2 linked regions of the Macaca mulatta genome follow. The protein of the gene in region 1 binds, or shares a complex with, the protein of each later gene. Links are inferred from orthologs where the notes say so. Each region holds a gene or a part of one and is shown in the gene's direction. Other genes may lie near its edges. The genes, in order: DNTTIP1 and MIDEAS.

Region 1 (3,816 bases):
CAGGGTTCTGTGCCCGTCAAAATCAGATCCATTAGCTTAAGTCATCATGGAGGGAGGGGAGTTACCCTGGTTTGAGGGGTGAGGAAGAAGGGTAGTGAGGAGGAAATTGTTTTACCCCCTGAACAATTTGGCCCAGCTTGATTGAACACCAGAGGTTTGTCACTGTTAGTATATATTGAATGCTTATGACTGGTCTAAATACGTTACATACTTTACCTTTTAATCTTTATAGCCACCCTCTAAAGAAGGTATCATTAATTTTTCAGATACAGAACAGACTCAGAGAATTACTTGCCTAATGTCATATAGTTACCATTACCTCCAAATTGGTCATTTTCATATATATATATATATATATTTTTTTTTAGACTTAATTTTTTTTAGAGCAGTTTTAGGTTCACAGCAAAATTGAGAGGAAGGTACAGACTTATCCCATATGTTCCCTGCCCCTACACATGCACAGCCTCCTCCATTATCAACATCAGGCACCAGAGTGGTAAATTTGTTACATTCGATGAGCCTGCTTTGACTCGTCTTGATCCTCAGAGTGCATAGTTTCCATGAGGGTTCACTCTTGGTGTTGTACCTGAACTTAGAGAAATGCATAGTGACAGGCATCCACCATTCTAATATCACACTGAGTGCTTTCATTGCCCTAAAAATCCTCTGTGCTCTGCCTATTCATCCTTCCTTCCCCCCTCAACCCACCCCCCAGCCCCACTTTTTAAAAAAATTCTGAAGCAGCAGAATCTTTTTTAAACAAAACGTTACATGGAAGCCCAGTATTTAAATCAAATAAAGCCACACTGGTTTGGGTCAGAGGCGTGGGGTTAGTTTGAAACAACTGGTTTAGTAGATGGGATAGTATTAACTGTCATACCTTAGATGTGTCTCCTACGCAAAGCAGTTTTATTCCTCACAAACACAAGATAGGTAGGGCAGTTGCTGTTTTTGTCTCTTTTGACAGATGAGAAAACTGCCACTCAGAGGTTCTTGGAGTTGCTCATGCCACTATGTAAGAGCAGAGCTAGTGCTAGAATGGCTTCTAGTCCAGTGCTTTTTTTCTGTTTGTTCCTCCTCTAATGTGTCACCACGAAGGAGGATACCCAGGCTAAAGTGAGAGTGTGTGAGGAACTCCTACCACCACCAGCAAGCCAGTATTCAGTTCTAGGTCTCACCTTGGAGAATTCACCTTTATTCTTTCCTTCCAAGCAGATGGAAACCAAAATCCTGTGAACCAATTCGCCGGGAAGGTCCTAAGGTATGATTATATGAGCATGGCAGAGACCACTATCCCAGGAGCTAGTCCCACTATCTCTGGGATCCACCATGGGGGAAAGGGGCAGGGGGCGAAGGATGCATGTCCACCATTCCAGAGCCATCTTCCCCCTCTCCACCTCCAGCCACACTGGCCTCAGAGAGGATCCTGTGTGGGAATTGGAGTTAGAGGCAAAACAAAGAGAAGGCTTGACTCTTTGCTGAAGCCTTCTTGTAGGAGCTAGTGGTCACTAATACTGACTCAATACTTAGTATGTAACAGGCAATGCCCTAAATCTTTTGTGTAGACTGTCTCATTTAATCTTTATAACAAACTCATGAGATCGATTCTGTGAACCATTCTATGAATAAGGGGTTTCCTTTTCTGCCAACTTCCCTGTGGGCATAAATTACTTTATTCAGTTGTCTTATACACTTAATGCACTTAAGACTTGCCCAAAGTCTGGCCGGGCGCGGTGGCTCAAGCCTGTAATTCCAGCACTTTGGGAGGCCGAGGCGGGAGGATCACGAGGTCAGGAGATCGAGACCATCCTGGTTAACATGGAAACCCCGTCTCTGCTAAAAAATACAAAAAACTAGCCGGGCGAGGTGGCGGGCGCCTGTAGTCCCAGCTACTCCGGAGGCTGAGGCAGGAGAATGGCGTGAACCCAGGAGGCGGAGCTTGCAATGAGCCGAGATCCGGCCACTGCACTCCAGCCCGGGCGACAGAGCGAGACTCCGTCTCAAAAAAAAAAAAAAAAGACTTGCCCAAAGTCACATAACTCGTAAGTGATCGAGCCAAGTCTCAAACCCAGGACCCGCTGACACCAGAGTCTCTGCTCTCAACCATTAGCCTCTGTTGCCTCCCTTTCTCTCCTGAGTTCTTCCTCATCAGTGACTTATATAAATGGATGTTCCCCAGAATTCTCTCCTTGGCCCACTTCTCCATCTAAAGTAACTCTCTGGATAATCTAAATCATATACTCTTATGGTTTCAGGGACCACCATGTTCTAAAACTCCCATACTTCTTTGTCCATCCCATGCCTCTCTTTCTACTTTAAAACTTATATATCCTACTATCTGGTTGACCACTCTGCTGGAAGTTCCATAGTCATTTCAGACTCAGCATATCCAAACATGAAATCAGAATCTCCTCACAGCCCTTCTTTACATTGTTTATCTTAATCATCTTTGCCTCCTCCTCTTCCTCACCTCCCTACATCCAGTCAAGTCCTGGACAATTCTCCCTCTTAAATATATTGCAGTTCCTATTTCCTTCTCTTCATCCTTACTGCTGCCCTAGCTCAGGCCCTTAGCATCTTTCCAACTGCTTTATCACAGCGGCCTCTAAACTGCTCTCCCTGCCTGTAGTCTTGCTCCTTCAAATCCATTATCCACATTGCTAGAAGACTAACCTATCTTTAAAGTAAATCTCTCACTCCCTGTTCAGAGGCCTTCAGCAATTCCCCATTGCCTACAGAAGATATAAAATGCAGTCCCCTGAACATAACCTCCCAGGACCTCCTACTCCTCTGTGTTTCTCTCTCCAGCCCCATCAGTTGCCACTCCCTAATTTGTACTCTGTTAGCAGCACAGAATTACTAGCAGTTTCTCCAGCATGCCAGGCTGCCTCTCACCTGTCTTTGCTCATGCTGCCCCCTGTCTGGAATGCCCTTGTTCCTCACCCACTTTACCCCAACTTGTGCTCACCCTTTCAGAATTAACTTGGGAAATGCCTCTCTAAGGAAGCCTTCCTGGCTGTACCCTCCCCTCGGCAGCCCTCAGACCCTGCACTCACCTGTGTCATTGCCTCATCGCATAATGATGTAATTATCTGTACATATGTCGGTGGCATCCTAGAAAACAGAGACTGTATCTTATTCACCTCTTTATCCCCAGTATCTAGCACAGACAGGGCCTAGCATATTGTGAGTACTCAGTGTCTTAGGTAAACGGTTGATTAAATAATAGACAAGGGTAAGGGTTAGAAAAGGGCAGGGGGAGGAGTATTTCTGTCCTACTCACCAGATTAAACTTCACCCTCACCAGCTTCTCTGTTTTTTGCACAGTGGGACCCAGCTCGCCTGAATGAATCTACCACCTTTGTGTTGGGATCTCGAGCCAACAAGTAAGTTTAAGAGCTTTGGCACTGATGGAGGAAACAGCTCAGGAATTCACTCGTAGGACTACACTTTCTGGAATCTTTACCACTTGGCTTTTACTTTTCAGGGCGCTGGGGATGGGGGGCACCAGAGGAAGAATCTACATCAAGCACCCACACCTCTTTAAGGTAGGTGAGTGCTGAGAGGAAAGCAGGCCATTGCATTGGGAGTAGACTGGGAACTCCACTCAGCACAGAGAAGCTTAGAACAAACACTGATCTTGGAGTCGGGACATCTGGGTTCTAGTTGCACCTCTGCCATTCACTTTTACCTTTCATGATTTACTCAGCACCTCTGTGCCTCAGTAATAACAGCTACTTTGCCTGCAAGTTTATTGGGTGCCAAACACAGTTTTAAGTACCACACTTATATTTTCTTTTTTTTTTTTGAGACGGA
Region 2 (4,493 bases), on another chromosome or scaffold:
GTCTTGCTCTTGTTGCCCAGGCTGGAGTGCAATGGCACGATCTCAGCTCACTGAAACCTCTGCCTCCCGGGTTAAGCAATTCTCCTGCCCCAGCCTCCTGAATAGTTGGGATTATAGGCATGTGCCAACATGGCCAGCTAATTTTTGTATTTTTAGTAGAGACAAGGTTTCACCATGCTGGCCAGGCTGGTCTCCAACTCCTGACCTCAGGTGATCCACCTACCTCAGCCTCCCAAAGTGCTGGGATTACAGGCATGAACCACCACACCCAGCCTTATTTATCAGTCTCTAAACCCAGAACTTTCACACTTCTTTATCTGAATCTAGGAAATTTGTTTTACATTCTGACACTGCACGAATGTACCTATATAGTACATAATTGAAACAAATGCTACACAAAACAATACTTATTATTACTTAATGCAATACAACCAATATTGCATGCAATACTTAATGCAATGCAAAAAGTTAAGTTTTAATATATTCTCTTTTTGTAAAAAGAAACACCCTGGTGCTGACCCATAACCCCTCTCCTGAGACAGACTTACTTTCCCCCTTCTCTGAGATCTCATAGTGCTCTCTGCAAAGCTCAACTCGAATACTTCTCATACTGCATTGCAATGTATGTCATTCTCTCCCACTAGGGACTTTGTTCTTTTCATCTTTGCATCCCTAGCATACACAGTAATAGACATCCAGTGAGTGTTAACTGAAGAAGTGAGTGGAAAATGCCTGTCTGAGCTGGGCATGGTGGCACATGTCTGTAATCCCAGCACTTTGGGAGGCTAAGGCAGGCAGATCACCTGAGGTCAGGAGTTCAAGACCAGCCTGACCAACATGGTGAAACCCTGTCTCTACTAAAAATACAAAACTTAGCTGGACGTAGTGGCGGGAACCTGTAATCCCAGTTACTTGGGAGGCTGAGGCAGGTGAATTGTCTGAACCCAGGAGGCAGAGGTTCCAGTGAGCTGAGATCATGCCATTGTACTTCAGCCTGGGAGACAGAGTGAGACTCTGTCTCCAAAAAAAAAAAAAAAAAAAAAAAAGACAATGTCTGTCTATGTGCTCAACACAACAGAAAAGGATGGTACTTCCCCTCTATGGTGCCACATGATGCCTAGTGTGGTGTTGGAGAGCGCAGACCTTGGCAGTGAGCAACCGGGCTCAGGGAGGAATTCCTATGGATAGGAGTATATCCGCCTCCTGCAGAGAGGACCTAAATGCATAAAGAACTAGGACCAGCGACTTTAACCATTTCCCCCCTCCTTGGTTTTTTTCCCTGAAACGATGTGTTTGCATCCCCATGCTAGAATGCCTTTCTGTCCTCCACAGTAATTTAATTATATAAAACTGACTGTGCAGACTCAAAATTTGGGGCATTTGGCATTCTTGCAAAGCCAGACTCTAGGAAACATGCCCATTGCTGAACACATTGGATGTGGTTTAGGTAGCAAAGCAAATGACCTAACAAGGAATATATGTGCTGAGCCTAGTTCCTGTTAAATTAATAGATTCACGTTCTGGCACATCCACAACCTCACAAGTCATAGCAACCGGATGACGGCATGGCAACACAGCAGCTGCGGCCACTGTACATGAGAAAAATCAGAGCCTAGTGTCTCTGGAGGGAAAACAGAAACGGCCTCTACAATTGCTGGCTTGTACTGGATTGACTGAAGCGAGGGAGCCGTGGGGGCAATCACAAGTAGATGCCTGCCCTGGTCAGGGATTGAGTATGACATCTCTCCTGCTTCCTGAACCTTTGTTTTATATTTTAAAAGTAAATAATTTGTTCCAGCCAGAGAGGAAATGATGCTGAGAGAAAGACACCATCACGTGGACAGAATGTTCTCCCTCGCCCTAGCAGCAGTGTGGAGTTGATCCTTATCAGTGATAGTCCAGGACTTGCTCTTCAACAGCAGGACCACAAGCCTTTCTTCCTAGTTTTTTGACCTTCCACCCCAACCAAAATCGCCTACCCCTTCTGGCTGCCAGGGTTGAAGGCCCTTCTTGCCAACTCTCCTTCTAGGATGAAGCCCTGACTCCACAGCCACTGTTTGGGCCAAGCCCTTAGGGATCAGGGTAAATGCCCGGAGATGGAGGAAGAGGATGCCTGGACAGATGTCAATTCTGATGACACAAAAACATCTGCATGTGCTGTCAGGTAGGTGACACCCAATACCAGGGCTGCCTGGGACCGAGCAGGAGTCCACACCCCCTGACCTAGTTTAAAGTCAAGAATGACCCTTGCTCTGCAAAAGGACTGAGAGCTGGGCCTTCTGTTCTTGGGGTTTGTGTCTTACGCTTAGATCTGGCTCCGGCCCCTGCTTTCCTTTCCATGTTCTATCAGGAAGGCCATGCAGGGTTGTCACTGAGTCCCCATGGATTCTCTACTGGTCTCTGTCTTATTAGTGGCCGTGTAATGAATTCCTCAAAACACAGCAGCTTAAGACAACATTTATTATCTTATAGTTTCTGTGGGTGAGGAATCCAGGCAGCTTAGCTGGGTGCCTCTGCCTGAAGGGCCTGAGGGAGGCCCTTCAGCTATTGGCTGGGGTTGAAGGTCTTATCTGAAGTCTTGATTCATATAGGGGAAGAAGAGGCATCCCTTTCCAGGTTCTCTCAAATGGTGGTTGGCAGGCCTAGCTCCCTTTCTACCAGGCTGCCTTAGGACGTGGCAGTTGGCTTCCCCCACAGTGAGCGTTCCGAGAGAGCGAAAGGCATAGAGAGGACCGAGTACGGAAGCCGCAGTTTTTTTTATAACCTAGTCTCAGAAGTAACATCACATCACTGGCCATATTCTATTTGTCAGAACTCAGTCAATGAATTCAGCTTACACTTAAGGGAGAGGATTATACAAGGGTATGAATACCTGGAGGCAGAGATCATTGGCAGGGGGTGCATCTTAGAGGCTGTCTACCACATCCTCCACATGGTGCCCTGGTACTCCAGCAACTGCCACCCTATATAGAGAGAAAAGCAATGTATGTGTAAGTGTCAGGCCTTCACACATTTACACTGTCTGCTAATTACTCCTGGGCATGCAGAAATACTGAATATTCATGAAATTGTGACTGAAAATTTGGAATCACATACAGAACAAAAAAAAATTCAACTCTTGTTTTAGCAAATATGGAGTATCACATGATTGCCTTTAGAAGCCTGGATAACATATTCTCTCTACTCATTGGTTGCCTTAAGCAGAATGCCCTAAGGAATTACTTCTATTTATTCCAAAATTGAAATGGGCAATCCCTTCACCATCTTCCCACAACAGTGTGATGTAAGAAGAATTTCAGAGAAGTTTAATTATTGAGTCTAATGATGCACTTATTTCTCAAAGCTGTATTATTTTTCTTGCATTGCACATTTTGTATTTATGATGTGCCATTAATGTTTTAGTAAAAATCAGAACTAGGGCGAAGCAGCTGCAACGTGGAGGATTTCATGTTGCTAGGAGAGCTTCGATCTTCATATTTCCTATCTTTGGGTGAATCTGTGGCTTTCCATGAGGGATTAACACAGACCTGGGGATCATTTCCCAAATGTCATTTTCCACCAGTCTTACATCCACCTTTCTGAACAAAGCCTTCACTCAAGTCTATGGTTTCCTGTGTTTTCATAAAAAGATGAAGCATTGGAAGGGGTAGGTTTTATCTGGCCAGTGTGCTAGGAGAAGCAGTATTTGGGGAAAAAAGGAAAATTGTTGAGCCCTAACATGCTTTTGAACCACCTATTAAAAGATCCCTGTTTTCCACGACAAGCTACAATGAAGCTAATGTTTCTGTTATGAAAGCCCTTTACTGCAGTTTCGAATGTCTTTTTGTTTGTTTGTTTTTGTTTTCACCAGCAAAGGCTAACCCCGTTTTTTCTCCAGCCTTATGGGATCAGGAGTTCTTCCTTCAAGACTGCTGTTTAACTACTTGGTTGCTACTTACCCTAAAGGTGGCTTTCCGTTGTACTTTTTAATAAGGTGAACACATTTATTTTTAGCAATGATAAATTTCAGGATTACTATTGCCTGAAGCTGCCCTTCTCATGCCTCCACCCTACCCTCTAAGTCACTCTTGACCGGTGATGAAACAGAATGCATCAGACTCCATTCTCTGTGAGTTGAGTGTAAAGGAAGAGGTGGAAATCGCGGGGGAGGATTAGAACAGAAACCATGCTGCAGCCCCAGCTTCAGCTTGGGCGCTGAAATAGCCCCCAGAAGTGTGATACGTGGTAAACGTCTTGCTCACTTATAACCCGTAGAAATGACAAGGAACATCATGCAGACTTTTAGAGAGAACGTGGGGACTGGGACCCTTGTTTTAAGGCCCACTTTAGGCATTATTTAAGAACACAGCGCACACTGCTTTCTGACATGACATTTTTAGCCCCAGCACCAAACAGAAAAACTTTTTCTTTCCCCTCCCCAACCCCTTTGTTTGTGTACTGGTGTTTCTCCTGGAACCCCAGCTTTACAGGGACCCTGAACCCCACCACCACCT

What was found.
Region 2: the proteins of DNTTIP1 (region 1) and MIDEAS are in contact, whole or in part, in a cryo-EM structure (PDB 6Z2J), measured with the Homo sapiens proteins. The link is inferred for Macaca mulatta from reciprocal best matches to the Homo sapiens genes DNTTIP1 and MIDEAS. Residues at the interface, in NP_443183.1 of Homo sapiens: Pro63, Ser66, Leu69, Leu70, Ala72, Val73, Leu74, Pro76, Ser77; in NP_001036783.1 of Homo sapiens: Gln768, Asp771, Leu772, Thr774, Ala775, Ser778, Ser779, Ile802, Leu803, Leu806.

Annotation. Positions count from the first base shown.
Region 1 is NC_133415.1:98,590,954-98,594,769, forward strand, and holds part of DNTTIP1 (deoxynucleotidyltransferase terminal-interacting protein 1), read left to right. Parts: intron 1-1,215; coding exon 1,216-1,261; intron 1,262-3,327; coding exon 3,328-3,386; intron 3,387-3,487; coding exon 3,488-3,548; intron 3,549-3,816. UniProt on the Homo sapiens protein: Increases DNTT terminal deoxynucleotidyltransferase activity (in vitro). Also acts as a transcriptional regulator, binding to the consensus sequence 5'-GNTGCATG-3' following an AT-tract.
Region 2 is NC_133412.1:146,959,318-146,963,810, reverse strand, and holds the start of MIDEAS (mitotic deacetylase-associated SANT domain protein), read left to right. Parts: upstream 1-1,620; 5' UTR 1,621-2,164; intron 2,165-2,872; exon of another isoform or gene 2,873-2,963; intron 2,964-4,491; exon of another isoform or gene 4,492-4,493.